Styela clava: one gene and its partner. Each later gene encodes a partner of the first gene's protein in a complex. Links are inferred from orthologs where the notes say so. Each region holds a gene or a part of one and is shown in the gene's direction. Other genes may lie near its edges.

Region 1 (8,522 bases):
GTACAAAAATACGAATCAAAAATTAATTATATTCAAGAACTTTACCACACATTCTAAGTCCGAAGATCGCCGTTGTATGTTTGAGTAATAATACTTTTATTATTTTTCTAAATATGAAAATAGGAATCAAAAACTATTTATAATCGGGTAGTTTACCACAAATTCTAAGTCCACAGATTGCCGTTGTATTTTGTAAATACGAAAATAGGAATCAAAAATTAATATTAATCGCGAGTTTGCCACACAATTTATGTCCACAGATTGCCGTGATATTGTGCCGAATATATTTAGTTTTTGATTCTTATTTTCGTACTCACGAAAAATTGTCACAAGTCAGAAAAAGAATTTATACTTTATCCCGCTCTTGGGAACTAATTTGGATAATGGTTGCCATTGGTTTGTATTTAAAAGTATGGACTTTTTACTAGGATGATTTTGTGCTGCGCAAAATATTCGAATCCATGACCGATACCACTATTTAAAATGCCTTACCATGTTAATTTAATTCTATTATCATAACTCAAATGTTGGCAAATCGGGCAGTTTACCACACATTTCAAGGTCACAGATCGCCGTTGCATTTTAGAATTATAATAGTTTTATTATTTTGTAAATACGAATCCGAAATTAATTATAATTGGACAGTTTACCACGTATTTCATGTCCACAAATACCCGTGGTATTTGGTATCAATACTTTCATTATTTTATCAATATAAAAATAGGAATCAATATTTAATAAAATCGGTCAGTTTACCACACATTTTATGTCCACAGATTGTCGATACAACCATGAGTTACGTTGAACAGAATTAAATTAAGACGGCATGACATTTTAAAAGCTGGTACCAGTCATGGATTGCATTATTTTGCGCAACAAAAAATCATCCTAGTAAAGGATCGATACTTTTAACCATCGTTATCAGAATTATTTGCCAGAAATTATTTTCTAATAAATCGACTTGTTTTTCCAACTTGTGACAATTTATTGAACATCGTAACAATGACGGCTATGAATACCGTATTTCCCGGCTAATAAGTCCACATGGCAAATAGGACGATGTCTATTTTTAGCACTCAAAAAGGGGTTTTTCCATATAGGCCTCCAATAAGACGGGTAGAAAAATTGTGTCCCTGTTGTTCAGTTATGCTGATATGCGCTAATAATTTTATATGTTTAGGACAAGATCATGTTAGTTTGGTAGAATCATACTCACAGAATTAACTATTTTTAACAATTGAGCGGTAAATTTAAGTTGTAAATCGGTAACCATTTTGGACAACCTATTAACCCAAACATTGAAATAATTTTGAAATGTGATAAGTAATACACTGTACGTCCACGGGTTATTGTACAGCTGTGTTTTCCTGTCCCTGTCGTGTTTTGCTGAATCCGCAAAACGAAAGGGTCGCAAATCACTTTATCTCGGTGACCAGGTTTCTCTTTGAGGTAACGATAACCGGCCTGCGATAAAATATCATGATTGGCAGACCCTAAGACCCGAATATAAGGTTACACAAATCATGCTTGAGAAGACTCATGCAAATAATAAGCAGGCCACATAGAAATAAAATAATTTCGACGTCAATTTTTCGACGTAATGGAAATGAATTTGTAAATTAAAAGCCTCGTAGACGAATGTCGGCAATGTCCACCCACGCAAACTTGCAAATACCGTCGCAACACTATGCGACGTACGGTCGGTCGGTCGCACAGAATATAAACAATCAAAGTGCCGATTCTATTTCATCGTCATTACAATACGTGAGACAGCGTAAAAAGTCATTTGAAGATTCCCGTAAAACGAAACACCACGTTTACGGCGAAGAGTGGCTACTATTCGGAATTATTCGAAAATCAGCCGAAAAGGTATTCGAATACTTTGATATTCGAATACATTCGAATATTCGATTCGTTTTGGACAACCCTGCTACTACGTACCTACTGCAGTATGCAAGACCACCGCAGGTCATTGAGGCTCTTGATCATTTTGTTCACACTGTGATCAAACTTCAGGTTGGATTGTGAGCGGTTTTGCATGTAACTTATTTCTGTATATTTAATTTAAAATGTACTCTTAACAGCATTTGCTTGGCGATTTTTGTGTAATTTATTAAAACTATTTTAATCATGCCGTTCATGTGCCAAAATGATAGTTACTCAACGCTGCACACTGCTGTTGTTCAGACAGTCACTCCTGCAAAATGCAAAGTGTCAATATCTGGTGGAAAAGAACAAATGACTGAAGGTTATGAAGTCATTTTAGACGACACTATTTTATTTCCTGAAGGAGGGGGCCAACCTGATGATAGGGGAACTATAGATGAAGTTCCAGTTCTTAGGGTGACGAGAAGAGGGGGTGATGCTGTTCATTTTGTTCCGTCTAAACTTGAAGAAGGCCAGGAAGTAAAATTAAAAGTTGATTGGGAACGTAGATTCGATCACATGCAGCAACATACTGGTCAACATTTGATTACCGCGATCGTTGATAAAAAATTTGGACATCAAACAACTTCATGGGATTTAGGAAGGAACGTATCATTTATTGAACTGGATACTTTGAGTTTAACGATAGCTCAAATGCAAGAGGTTGAAGACGAGTGCAATCAGAAAATCAGAGATTCTACTCCAGTTACTGTTCATGTAACAGAAGTTGGATCGACTTTGCTTGAAAATGTTCGAGCTCGAGGTCTCCCGGAAGATCATGTCGGATCTGTTAGAATTATCGATATAAATGGAGTCGATGCCAATATGTGTTGCGGGACTCATGTGAAAAATCTCTCAGATTTGCAGTGTGTAAAACTCCTTAGTGTGGAGAAAGGCAAAAAAGGTAAATGCAATCTTTATTTTCTCGTCGGGAATCGTGTACTCGATTTTGTTGCTAAAAAATATGCAGACGAAAAATCTTTAACAAAAATATTAAAATGTGGACCGATTGAACATGTCGAGGCCGTCGAAAGAAGTGTAAAGCAATTAAAACAAACTCAAAAAGAAGCCAAAAATCTTCTCCGAGAAGTCGCTTCATTTGAAGCAAAATCTTTCAAGTTATCTGTATCAGAAAACAGATACTTGCGTCTTCATCGCAAAGAAGGAAATAATGAATATATGAACATCGTTGCAAATGAACTAAAAGGGATTGAATGTTACTTATTTCTCACAGTTGGTGATGAGAAAGGGGAAGGCTTATTCTTACTTTCAGGCCCAGATAAATTTTTAGAAGAGTGTGGCAAAAATATTAGCGATGCAATTCAAGGAAAAGGTGCAATGAATGCTGGCAAAATACAGGGAAAGGCGCTCAATATGAAAGGATGCAAGCAAGCTGAAGAATTGATTAGAACATTCATGTCAAAATAATTTTTTTTTTATTCATTCTCTGCTTTGTACACAGTGTCCTTCTATAAGCTTGTTTTGGAGAACTCGCATACGGAATACAATATTTTCATACTTGATTAATCCTTACCAACCAACGTACGTACCAACGACAAAACTCGCTAGATCGCGGCGGGTACTTTAAGTTAAGTCGCAAACTGTTGGTCTAGTTTTTACTGGGTTTTAGTTTATTGAAAAGAAGTCTTCTTCGAGATTATTAACATAAGCGACGTTAAGTTTAAATAAACTTTCCAACGAGCCGTCAGTGGGCAGCAGAGGATCATTAGTTATTCGTTAGTCGATCGATTAGTTGTGGGGGTACAAATGCATAAAATCGGCGTAGCAAATACGATTATTTAATAATAAATAAAAACACATGGAAAGGGTTGATTACCGCATTTTACCCAGTCATTCATATTACTTTCTCCCTCACCAAACAAGGTACATAAAAATTCCTAGCCTCGTTATAATGTATGTATTAGCCATATGACACCAAGTAGTACATCTCAATGAACCATTTTTCATCTTTGTTATTCGGACACAGATTTGTAATAACAGTATTGCTATTTCAAAAACTCTGTGTTTGGAATTTGAATAATCACACTTAGTAATCATGCACTGTTATTTTTTCTGAGGATATGCCATTCTTGCATTGAAAACTAGAAGAAAAAGTTATGATTTGTTATATTTGGTGGTTCATCTTACTTTCAGGAGTTCTTTTCTGTAACGTTCCGTCTGCAAAGTCCCCAGACCACTTTACAATTATAAGCCATGTTTGAGGTTTTTGAGTCATTAATTTCAACATATCATCCTTTTTTTGAATCCTGATCTTTTTTAGCGGTATTCAGAACTATAAAATACAAAGTACTTTGAAAAAGCAAATAACTTGACAGAACTTATTACATTGCATTTCCCCAAGCCTGGAAGGAACGCATTTTTGTTAGATTAGCCATTTATTACTTAAGACACTCACCCTTGAGTGATACATACCATATATGCACATACTCCTATAAACTTGACTATTTCTCCCATTTATAGTATGTGGTATCTTTTCTCGAGGGTGCTACATGTCCAAATTTTATTCTTATGTATATATATTATGTATTATATTTCATGTTGTATTGTCTCAATTTATTGATGTTGTCTTGTCCTACCAACTCCTTTGTACAAACAGTTGGGCATACTCCACCATTACCCATGTTGCCTAATCCACCCTCCTCGCACAACTGTCTGTATGAAGGACCATATTATACTTATTCGATTTATTGCATTTTATGCTTATCATAAGGGGTGTATGCCGCGCGTTCATGTGTTTTAGGCCAGTATGGTCTTGTGTATACATCCCGTCTTCAATGTTGATATTTACTAACTCCTGTGTTTTTGCTTTTACGAGACGAATAAACATACATACATACATACCGGTAGGTGGTATTACCTTCGGACATATTCATGCAGAATATTTATGATAAGATCTTAAAACAGAATACTGAATTATTAGATATAAATAAAGGAGTCTGTAAAATACCGTTTCCCACTTTTACGGTGCTCGTTGGAGGTGATATTTTCGAGACACTGAAAATACTGCTACCAACCTACTTGAGAGTTATTAGATATAACTTTGTGGTTGGAATATATTTTGGGAAAATTTATATGGTGCATTCATTTAATTTTAATCTTCCTATTTATAGTACTTGAATTATATTTCATTTGATTCTTATAGTTCAAACAATATCTTAATCAAAATTCATCATGACTTATATTTAAATGTATTTCATGTGCATATTTCTACAGAAATATCTTTTTGTCCAAATTACAAAATAAAATATTTTGAGCGCAATGGACGAACCAATAACTCCTGACAATACAAGAGTTGTCAGAATAATGGATGATTTCCACCAGTTCGTAAGATCAGCAGATCAACAACGTAGAGGAATTCCTTTTAATATGATTACTGAGGGGGAGACACATTCACACGGAAAACGATCATTTTCATCATCTTCTGAGGCTTTAAATCGAGCGAAATTTGCGGAAATGGAGAGTCGTCATGTCTCGGATGAACGAGCACATAAAATTGCCCGACTCGATCTCGAAAGTCGCAATGAAAAGCTGATTTCTGAAAACAGACTTTTAAAAGAAAAATGCGATGGGTTGCAACTCAAAGTCAAGCAAGTTACAATGCAAGCGATTACCGCACAAGACAAGTTTCAAGAATTACGGAATTCGCGCATGAGAGATAAAGAAAGTCTGGAAGAAATGCTTCTAGAATTGCAAAAAGATAAGGAAGCTTCGGAACGAGATTTACAACTAAACGTTGACCATTTACGGAATTCTAACGATGAGCTAAAACAGCGTAACACTCATTTATCCATGCAGAATAATGCTTTGCGAGAAAAATTAGAAGAAACTGCTGCTCTGTTGAACCATAAAACAAGCAGGGTTCAAAAATTGACTGAAGATTTAAAAGAATCTGGGAACAATGAACCGAAGTTACGAGAATATCAACTGAAAATACAGGATCTCGAGTTGAGACTCTCACGATCCAGTGAAGCGGAACAAATGGCGAAAATATTGAAAGACGATCTTGAACGCTTAAGAATACTTGAAATTGAAGTCGTTAAATTAAGAGGAAGGAATGAAATTTATAAAGAAAACGAGACAAATGTACTTCTCATGAAAGAAAAATTATTATCTGCTGAAACAAAACTATCTCACAATGAAAAACTCATCGAAAAAGCAGCTCTAACTGAGCTCGAAAATAAAGATCTAATTGCACAATTAAATGAAGCAAAAAAGAAAGAAATTTTACCTGTAACGGATTTACTTGCTGAGGTGAAGAAATTGCAACAAAAAGAAGCTGTGGCAGCATGCGATAAAGGACAAATACATGCAGAATTGCTAACATGTCGAATAAAATGTGAAGGAATGCAGAACAATATTTCAAATCTAGAAAAAACTATCGAGGAAAAAAATGAAGCGAATCGCACAAAAGATACACAAATAAGACTTCTTCAGAAACGAGCGTTGCTTCTCACTGGTGAGCGAAACAGCTTACGTTCAATTTTACAATCGTATGATTCTGAGTTATCAACAACCGCACACACCGATCAACTTATTTTACGAGCACAAAATGCTGAGACTGCGAATCAAAAAGTTCACACTCGACTTGTTGATGTGGAAAAAGAAGCACTGAACAACGCTACACTTGCTTCTCATTTAAAAGTTACGATAAAAGAAATGGAGAACAATATAAAGCAATTAGAACGGAAATTAGAAGAAGGCAGTGGTTCAAAAGCAGGTGAAAAAGAAATGGAAAATTTGCGTCAAAAAGTCGAAGATTTAGAGAAAGAGCGTTCTCGTTTACAAAAAGAAAAAGAACATTTAGAATTATGGGCAGAACAAAATAAAATGCGAGGGGATTATGATCCATCAAAAGTGAAAGTATTCCATCTTAAGATGAATCCAGCTGATATGGCACATAAACAGAGTGCATTAGAAGTTTCAAAATTGAGAGCAAAATGTCTAAAACTTGAAGAGAAGATTCACAAACTGGAGTCGAATCAGGACGTAACAACGACGAATATTGATGTGACGCAAGGAAAAGATTTTCAAGAAAAGTTGGCGGCTTCTGAATTGAAGAATCAAAGACTGAAAGAAGTTTTTAGTAAAAGAATTTTTGAATTTCGACAAGCTTGCTATACATTGACTGGTAAGTTTATTCTTGTCTTTTAATCTTCTGTGAGGCAATGAGTCCTGCAGACAGACCCGACTTTTAGTTAGGGTCTGCCTGAGTGTTTGGAGCATTTTATCTTACTATGTTGGTGTCGCTAGTTGAAGGTGCTTTGCGATTCGTAAGCATCGACGAATTTAGTCTCTGTAATTTTTGATGGAATGCGTTGATATTCTGCGACACAATCAATAAATCTTGCGACACATTAGTGCTCAGCGGTCCCCACATATTTCAAAATGAATGTCTTATGCAATATTCTTTTTTTAGGCTTCAGAATTGATTCTACTGCTGACAATCAGTACAAGTTGGTATCAATGTACGCAGAAAATGAAGAAGATCATCTCTTGTTCAAGTCTGATTCTTCGGGGGTGATGCATCTCTTGGAAACAAACTTTTCAACATCATTGGACAATTTAATCAAGCTACATTTACACCATCAGAATAGCATTCCTATGTTTCTGAGTAGTATTACTGCAGACTTATTCAGCCAACAGACTATGGTCTAATAATCATATTACGGAAAAATGTATTTGGTATTTTATGAGTCTGCTTAATTTATATTATGAAAGAACCTTCTATCAACAACATTTTAGACAAGATTTGTCATGTGCGTGAAAGCCTAGCACAGAGGTTTTTAAACTTTAACGATCTGTGACCTTAAACTTATTAAACACTGCAGCTTGAAAACTTGGGTCCCTGCTCTTCTATAACAATATCTGGCTGTGCTTTTATGTGTTTCCAACAAACTCAATCTAACAAACAAAAGTCAAAGAACAAATGCATCAATCGAAGTCATTTTACTTAAAATGAATGTAGTCATTTTGAATGGTACCAACTTAAAGTGAATGCCTTTGCTTGTTGCCCTCAAAGAACCACTCAAGGGCCCATTTTGAGAAATCCTGGCCAGTGTTTGGAGTGTTGTATTGCAGATTCAAACCCAAGACCACCAACTCATCTGGAATACAATAAATGTGTGCGCAATGTCAAACCAGGAACATTCCAGTCCAGTCTAGAAAATAGCATCACCTTGCACATGAGTGGCGGTACTCCTGTAGTCTGTGTTTGCAGTAGGCAATAATTTTATTCCGATTTTTTTAATTTTAGTTCTATTACGAGGTTAGAGACTGTCTGTGTTAGCCAAGTGAATATACCCTCTGCGTGTTGGCTTTCTTCTCTTTACACAACTAGATGTAAAGTAGGCGAAATAAATGCTTGCACCAATAATTGTTAGAACATGAAAATGCCGTAAAAAATTCAATGTTAACAAATTAAACATGAAGGGTATATTCTTTATTTATTACTTACCGATTTTAATCGGTATGTATGTTGATAAGTATTTGTCTGTCTGTCAGATGCACGCGATATCTCACAAAAGCGAGATTGGATCTGCTGCAGATTTTGCATGTGCATTTAACCAGACTCCAAA
Region 2 (8,877 bases), on another chromosome or scaffold:
GATTGTTCTAATCATATTACTTTCAATTTGACATCCACCCAAACCTGATGATACTCTTATTTGCAATTGTGTCATACTACTGATAAGTTCCACAACTCAATCATTTATAGTATTTCGCAACTTTTCATTATACACAATTTTGGTGCCCTATTTATTGTACAAATATTAGCAAAGAAAAGTTATTTTCCTGTTTTATGATGCTTATAAAGACCAAATTTCGAGAAAACATATAACCTAATTGGTAAGGATAGTAAACATATTCAGATTTTTCAGTTCATCGATTCTAACTGCTAGCCTATAGCGGCTCCTTCTAGAAATTACCGTTCAGATGATCGAAAATTTATTAAAAACGTGATATCTTGTATTCTTGAGGATATTTGCGACTGGAAATATTCATTGGGACAAACATCCATTTGTGAATATGTCCGAGTGTACGTGCTTGCAAATGTTCGGAGCCAGTGTCACTGCCTAAATTTTAGTTAAGTCTTTTTCAAAAGCTTCTAAATATATTTTATCAATCATAATTAAACAGGATGGTACCATACAGAGGGTTTGATTGATCAAATCAATACCTCGTCTTACCAACCTGGTTGAATAGTCTTGGCCGTTCCGGTGATTAGAGTGGCCGCGTTTGTCCGGGAAAATCAAAACAGTCTCACTGAACAATCAACAATTCGGTCGTCGGGTTCCAAGCTGTTTCTAAGGTAAGTTAGCATTCGCGTTACATACCGTACCGTACCAGCATACAGACATAGTCTACAACAGGGGTGTCTGTGATAGAATACCGGTACTGTGATAGAATTAATGCTAATATTGAACACTGTAGACAATCCGTATATAATTTCATTGAATATAACATAGGGCAACAACTGAGTGTTATTTTTAAAATACCTGTAAATAATAGTGTATCACATACCTTTTTCCCCAATAGATATTATGGAGCCATTATTACTTTCCTTCGGCAATATAACATTGCTGGAACTGATTTAGAACAAGGGAAACATCGAATAATTTATAATAAAATAGTTGATAATTTGAAGAGGGGTGACAGAATAGTGTTTCTTAGAGATGGTAGTTTGGAAGGAGCTTGTTCAAACATACATTGTAAAATATTGGCTAATAATATGAAAACTTTCAATTATAAACTTATGTGGGACATTCTTTCACTAAAAGTTAAACCAAGGATTAGACATATTACTGGAAATGATTTATGTGTACTTTGTTTTAAAGAACCAGAATTTATATCTCATTTATTTTGGAACTGTGCATTTACACAAAATGTATATGATTATGTTTTTTCTGTTGTATTAAAAATAAACAATTGCGAGTTAAAAAATATTTATAAAACATGTATTTTACTAGAACTAAATAATCAGTGTTTTTCACATTTATCATTAGTCGAACGTAATGCAGTCATACTTCTTCTGTGTACTGCAAGATATAAAATATGGTTAGAACGTAATGCAGTTATTTTTGAAAATGTTAATCCAAGTGTAAATAGTGTCGTAACAAGAATTAGAAAATCCCTTTTAGCAAGGAGAAATATAGAACAACTTAGACATAATCCTAGTTTTATAAAAGAACTAGACATAATTTGTAAGAATCTATGACTAATTGTATAAATTTTTATTTTTCTGCTATAAATTAAAAACATATAAATTAATGTATATTTACTGATAAACATGGGAAACTTTATCTGGAATCAACAATGGAATAATATGAATTGCTGGATAATACTGAATGTTTACGAATATATTTGTTTATTATATGTAACTATGTTCTATGATTATTATTTTTTCATCATTTATTTATTTTTACAAAACTGTTATGAATCCACAACGTGGACCTTTAAAAAAAACAAAACAACAACAACAGGGGTGTCAAATTCGTGTGTATTCGAGGGCCGCATTGTATATTGGGAATTGTGCCAAGGGCCGAAAACAGTTTTTGATAATGTACGGTATACTTTGGGCATTTCTATTTTATGATACATCAATCAATCATACATATTGTGTTGTAATTAAACAGCCAAATAAAATTTTGCTATTTTCTTAAATTTCAAATGGCATTTTCATAATAATTTCTTTCCTTTGCACTATTATTGCAATTTACTTTATTTATTACAAAAAATTATAAATTTTTACATACAACTGTACAACTATCCAAAACATGCATACACAAAAATGACTTGATCTTAATACAGGGTGTTCTCGGGTTATGACGGTCGCGACTTACGATGTTTCGAGGTTACAAACGCGCACTCCATAACGCTGTTTCGAGGTTACGAACGCACTTTACGAACATATACAGATATAAAAGATAATACTGTACTGTAATATCTAAGCCTATAAACTGGATCATTGTGATCAGGAAAATCAGTGCTCTGGGCTCATTGGTTTTCGTTATTTACATCGTACACGACGTGACCAATTGCGAACTATTACGAATATGAACGAATAATCACTAAGCTTCAGTCACATGGTACAGTACTGTACACAGTTCCAGTGATACTGTACGTCATTTTGGTTGTTTAAGTCGTTTTTTTCGTAACTTGTTTGATCGTTTTTTTTTTTACTTTTGCCCTTTGTTATGGACTCAAAGCAAAAAAAAGATGTTAAGATACTGCACTGTTGCACACTTGCAATTCATGCACTGTACCACTGTACAGTATAAGGTTCAGACTTACACTGAAATTTGGGTTACACCGAGTCTCAGAAACAGAACTGCGTCGTAAGTCGAGGACTCCCTGTATATAAACCTAAAATCTACAAAAATACAGAATAAACTTAAACAGCTTACTAATATCAGGCTGAAATGATTTTACAGTAGGCTACCAATTCTTAGTAACGAGGTCACATGACCATCGGTTAATTTGCATCGTTGAGAATGTTTGATTAAATTCAGAAATTACTCCCTTATTTGTAACTTAGCATCACAAGCTTATATAAAGACCGCAAGTTGTGCAGTGCCTGATATATCACACAATTCATCGAATGATAAGAAAAAATATTCAAAGTTAGCAGACGCAAATTTTATTTGTTCTTTTAAATTTGCGGACATCTTATCAATTCTAGTAGCAACTGTATTTCTTGTCAACGATAAATTTTTGAGAAGTTCCAACTGTTTTTACAAGACAGGTTTGCTGCTGATTTAGCTGTGCTTTCAACTGCAACAGTTTCATGTTTCGAAGTTGATATTCAAATTTGTCATATTGACTGCTGGGCTTACTTTGATAATGTCTACTTATATTGTATTTATTCAATGTACTGATAGAAAAGTGACAAATTAAACAGTTGGATTTCGAATTTTGAAAATATTGCAACCCCCCCTTTTTTTAGATAAATGCCACCTTCTTCATGTACTTTGCATTTCTTCTTAATCACTGAACTGTTTTTTTTCAAGTATTCTCTTGCTAGCTTGAGGTGTATCCATAATCAGGTCAAAACGAAACAAAAAAATTTGTAATTTTTCAAAACTACTTTCTGTAATTTGTCGTGTTCTGCGTGGATAATCAATTTCAATTGGGAAGTTTTAAAAAATGTATTACATTTAGATTAAAAACCTTACAAAATATATCAATAATTGTTAAGCGTTCGAGGGCCGCGAGTTCGGCACCCCTGGTCTACACTCTACCTGTCTACAGAGTCACCGCAAAAATGTGTTTCAAATGAACTCGGTTCTGATTTTGGGTCTGGTATAGTTTAGTACCACATGCACTTCTAGTTGGCCTGGCTCAACAATTATTGCATATGTCAATCCTAACCCCCACCTAACTACGTCACCGAAAAATTACGTCATTTCGACGTCGCCCACCAAAGTATGCAGATGGTCGTCCAAAACGCGCAGACGATCACCGAAATCGAGCAAGCTATTTCTCTCGTTTTCTCGCCACAACGATCCCGATAGGAGGAGGTTATAGACGGCGCATATGCCATTTCGGGCAATCTTAATTATACTTTAAAAAGTCCTATGACGTGATGGTGATGTCGTAGTGACGTAATTTTTTGATGGCATAGTCAGGTGGGGGTTAGGAATAACATATGCAAAATTCGTTATGCTACGCCCACTGGAAGTACTTGTGGTACTAAACTATACTAGACCCCTGATTTTTTGGACCACCCTATATTTATGCCAGGGTTCAAAGTCGATGGGTCGGCAGATGCAGAGTTTGAACGGTTCTATCCACTGATCCAAGGTTTGAAGTAAGGGGTTATCCCATTATCCTCGCTTCAAACATTAAAAGAGATAGTGCAGATGTTTGCTGAGAAGAAATAATAAATTATTTCAACCAAATTTAAAAATAGCGGCGTGTTTACCCCCAACCAACTTATTCCAGTATTCAATTACAGCCAAACAAATCCTCGTGATGATCGTGGCAGGAAACAAGCTACCGGTAACAGAGTGGAGATGATTTGCGAAAGTTCAATATCAATTATGTTTTGCGGACCCGCTGCTGGAAGCCTCTTGCCTTTTGTGGTACTGGTCTTTGGAAATAAACGCCTATGGATCCTGGACCACCGACTGACCGATGGCCCTGCTGGGGACAGTATATGATGCAACACCAAGTGGATAGTTTGATACCAGTACATTCATCTGCTGGTTTGAAGAAGTTATCGAACCAGTCTGTGTTAAACTTGGTGTCGAAAAAATGCTCGTAGGGGACAATTTATTTTCCCACTAAACCACGGAATGAAGGTCGTGAGTTGGGTCTCGTGTAGTTTCGACTTCAAGTACTTCTTGTGGGGGTAGCATAACGATATTTGCACATCAATCCTATTCCTAACCCCACCTAACTAGGCCATCCAAAAATTGCGTCGCAATCACGTCATGGAGCTTGCCAAAATATACCTACGATCACCTGAAATAGCATCTGCGTTGACGATAATAAACTCACTAACGGCAGGGATCTCTCTCATATTGGGATCATTGCGATGAGAAAACGAAAGAAATAGCTTGTTCAATTTCGGGTGATTGCCTGCGCGTCTTGGATGACAGTTCGTATAGTTTGAAGGGCCTCATCACGTCGTGGTGACGTAATTTTTGGATGACTCAGTCATGTGGGGGTTAGTATGCTATGCCAACCAGAAGTACCTGAGGTACGAAACTACACTAGACCCCATTGACTTAGCAGACCAACATAATGTGTATTTCGCATGCCTGCCAGAAGTCATTGGACAGCAATCATATATACTCCAGCCTCTCGACTGCTCATTTTTTCCCTTCTAAAAGCAAAATAGAGAAAAATACTAGCCTAATGGATGTCATAAACACGAATTTGTGGTTGTCCGGAGAAACATTTCCCACTTTCACTGCACCAGCGTTTTTTTAAATCCTTGTTAACAGCTGCACAAAATCTTGAATCGGGATGTCAAGTTTGTGAGATTCACCCATCTAACCCCTCTGCTGTGTTGCGTAAGCCATGAACAACTGACCAGCGATTACGATATGTCTTACTCCTCTTGCACAGGGGTGCATGGTAAGCATACCATGCCATATATGTAACGTAATATCGCTAAGTTAACGATTAGCACAGTAGCATGATGCTCCACATCCAGGCATCGCCGTCTGTGTCCTTTCCGAAGTGGTTTTTAATATGTTTCTGTTTCCAGTTATTGGTCTATATATGTGTAGAATCTGATACTTTGAATTAAACATGCCTCCAACTCAACAGGCTTCACTGAATAAAATAACGCTAAAAGGATCAGCAGCAATTGTTTCCGAATTTTTCTGTGAGTTTTTCATGCTAATTGATTCATGCTGTTATTACTATATCCTAGCGACCTAGATAAATGGTTAGACACAGCATTTTCAGTTTATGATATGCTAGACTTGACTTTCAGGCTCGAGGTCAGCACCATGCTGTAGTGCATGAAGCACAGTACAAGCTTGTATTTGATTGGATTTTATAGAATGTACAGTAGTCTTTTTTTTTTCAGTACATGGTGCCATGATGTTTACAGATTTACAATAGCAGATTAAAAGCGATCAAGCTTGGTTTTTGATATAGCCTATTGGTTATTATCATGGTACCCCTTCGAATAATGATTTGGCTCTCTGAATTTTCTACCGTATTGCATGCTCTATTTTGATTATAATTCAGACTATGGAATCAACAGCATTTTATATCAACGTGGAATATATCCAGCGGAAATGTTTACCAGAGAGAAAAAATATGGACTGACCATACTTGTTTGCACAGATGACAAGATTAAAGAATATTTGGAGGAAAATGTTTGTCCACAATTAACCGGTGATCTCCAAATTCAATTTTGAAATCAACTTCTGATTCATTTTTCATGTTCGCTAACTATTATAATCAGTTTTGTGATCTAATAAGGAAATTTTTATTACTTACATCATCTGATATCTTTAGACTTTAATAGAAGACAATAATTGGCTAGTCACGTTTGATAGTCGTGTCTTATGGAAATTAACCTTCCTTTTAGTGCCATACTTTTGCAACATAAATAATAGCATTTCAAATCCTAGGTGAGAAAATTGGAATCTGAGAATTGTGATAGTATTTATTTTGTTACCATTGTCATGTAAATTTCTTCAATTGTTGTCCAATTTCATCTCAATGATCTTTCAAAATATTATGCTAGGTAGCCTATATGTAACAAATTTCTTGTTTCCTGTTCTCAAAAGTTGTTTCATTGTTACTCAAAGCCAAGCTATGCTCGATATATGCCTGGGGCCATAGCCCATAAGTGACAATATACTCTGGTATTTAATTTTGTTCTTTAACAAAATCTCTTTGAAATGTAGTTTGAATTACCTTATGAAACTTTTCGTGTTATAGTTATTTGAGAATCCTAAAATTACTGAGATGATCTGATGGAAATCTGGGAAAAAGAATGCTATTCTGGCGAACCCCATGTCATATATTGCTTGGGATTTGACATATGATAACTTATATGATAATATTTTATGCACAGAATGGTTAGAACAAGGTGTTGTCAACAGGCTTGTTGTCGTTATAAAAGATGTTGACACAAAGGAACCACTTGAAAGATGGCAGTTTGAAATAGATTGTGACAAGACAGTAACTTCTAAAGATGGAGAAAAGAATCACAAGTAGGTCATATATTGATTTTATTTATACTTATGGCCCTATTGCTTCAAAAAGATGTAGACCCCATTTCAATGCTTCAAGCCCTTTCATCTTTCAAGACTCTGACTTTCAACCATTTTTATTCCAAATCAGATAAAAAAATCATGGAAACATTCAAATCATCCAACAGACATTTTTGTGTACATTCCATAGAGATGAAATATCATAAAATGAATGCATTTTCAATGTCCCGCTCCCAACAACATTGTTTCAGAGTCGTTACAAGCATTTTCAATGTCCCGCTCCCAACAACATTGTTTCAGAGTCGTTACAAAATTTTACAAATGTAGGATTTGCCATTTTAAATTCTGTTCATCAATTAGATGTGTTTGCAGGATAATATTCATATGCCGGTGAGCCAGTGTTTAAAATACAGTGATTCAGTATGTTTTCACTTTTGTTGAAATTCAGTGAACTCATAGTAGTTGGAAAATTCAAGCATTTAAAAATGTTATTTTGAGATTTATATCAAAACAGCAGTATTATATAGTCATAGATACCATCAGGTTTCAATTTTCAAATATCAATTTATTCATTGCATTGATTTAGAACCAAGGAAATTGCAGAGATTCATAAAGAAATATGTGCTGTAATCAGACAAATAACAGCTACGGTTACATTCTTGCCTCTCTTGGAAACTGTCTGTAAGTTTGGTTTGATTATCTCTTCAATATTCACATCAACATAATTGGGCTCAACATACTAACCTTGGAAACCAGTGGTTCCCACATTTTTGATACATCCTTCCTTTGCCTCTTTTTAAATTCTTCATTAGTCACTGGCTAGTGATAGACGCATTACCAGTAATAATACTACATGCAATTGCTAGATAAAATCTTAAATTGCAATACAAAACAGGTTCTTTCGATGTTCTGTTTTACACAAGTCATGATGCTGAAAATATATCACCAAAGTTGGAGGAAAGCAGTGCTTTCTTGATCACCGACTCTCAAGAAGTGAAACTGAGATCATTCAACACTACAGTTCATAAAGTTGAGGGGGCTGTGTCATACAAGTTTAATACCATCCGATGAAAATGCTAACACCAATTTTTTAAAAAACAGTGAAGAAACTATTGCTGCGCTCAACCTCCTACTGAAATTATGGAACAATTTTGTCCATTTCCCATTTGGTGTGACCAGTTGCGCGGCCAGGGGGTTCCGACAGGGGTACAGATTAAGAACGCTTTCATGGACATCGTAAATCGCAAAATTTATTGTACCTACGCTACCGCACACATTATAATTGAATGAATAGCCATGCCGTTGTCACGTAAATCGAAACAGTCAATAGTGCGCTCGATGTACCAATATTATCAATTCCACTACCGACGGTCCCCTACACGGTTTTTTTCTGAAATATGATAATATACAAGATAATTATTGTAATGTATATTCATTATTCAATCAATATTGTGCTAAATTAACTTTACTCCGTGGAATTTTATCGGTGATACAGGGATTGATCAAATTTGCAAAAATACGAAGCAGAACAAGATATAATCGGGCAATGTACCCCACATTTTTATCCGGGGATAGCCGTGGTATATTTATGGTAGTAATGTATTATATTTTTCGACGCGACCGCAGTTTGAATTAACGCAATTAAATTAATACAGCTAGACATTTTGAATTTGCCCGTATCGGGCATGTATTGGTCAACACGCGCAACAAGAAAATCCGGCTATGGCAATAAACGTAGTTACGGCGACCGCTCCAGAAGCTGTTTTTCGAGGCGATGAATATGTATTTTTGATATACTAT

The links.
Region 2: the proteins of mitotic spindle assembly checkpoint protein MAD1-like (region 1) and mitotic spindle assembly checkpoint protein MAD2A-like are in contact, whole or in part, in a crystal structure (PDB 1GO4), measured with the Homo sapiens proteins. The link is inferred for Styela clava from reciprocal best matches to the Homo sapiens genes MAD1L1 and MAD2L1. Residues at the interface, in NP_001013858.1 of Homo sapiens: Glu527, Arg528, Ala530, Leu531, Gln532, Gly533, Asp534, Tyr535, Gln537, Ser538, Arg539, Thr540, Lys541, Val542, Leu543, His544, Met545, Ser546, Leu547, Asn548, Pro549, Thr550, Ala553, Arg554, Leu557; in NP_002349.1 of Homo sapiens: Tyr38, Leu61, Tyr64, Asn67, Val68, Trp75, Gln82, Lys83, Ser89, Ile91, Glu92, Ser93, Gly94, Arg99, Gln101, Ser150, Phe151, Asp152, Leu153, Leu154, Ile155, Tyr156, Thr157, Asp158, Lys159, Asp160, Leu161, Val163, Lys166, Trp167.

Annotation. Positions count from the first base shown.
Region 1 is NC_135263.1:4,101,317-4,109,838, forward strand, and holds the start of mitotic spindle assembly checkpoint protein MAD1-like, read left to right. Parts: upstream 1-5,199; 5' UTR 5,200-5,205; coding exon 5,206-7,075; intron 7,076-7,363; coding exon 7,364-7,602; 3' UTR 7,603-8,522. Other genes in the region: alanyl-tRNA editing protein Aarsd1-like, read left to right, coding at 2,131-3,354. UniProt on the Homo sapiens protein: Component of the spindle-assembly checkpoint that prevents the onset of anaphase until all chromosomes are properly aligned at the metaphase plate.
Region 2 is NC_135260.1:18,873,058-18,881,934, reverse strand, and holds the start of mitotic spindle assembly checkpoint protein MAD2A-like, read left to right. Parts: upstream 1-5,358; 5' UTR 5,359-5,653; coding exon 5,654-5,729; intron 5,730-6,100; coding exon 6,101-6,250; intron 6,251-6,938; coding exon 6,939-7,077; intron 7,078-7,663; coding exon 7,664-7,758; intron 7,759-7,972; coding exon 7,973-8,148; 3' UTR 8,149-8,877. UniProt on the Homo sapiens protein: Component of the spindle-assembly checkpoint that prevents the onset of anaphase until all chromosomes are properly aligned at the metaphase plate.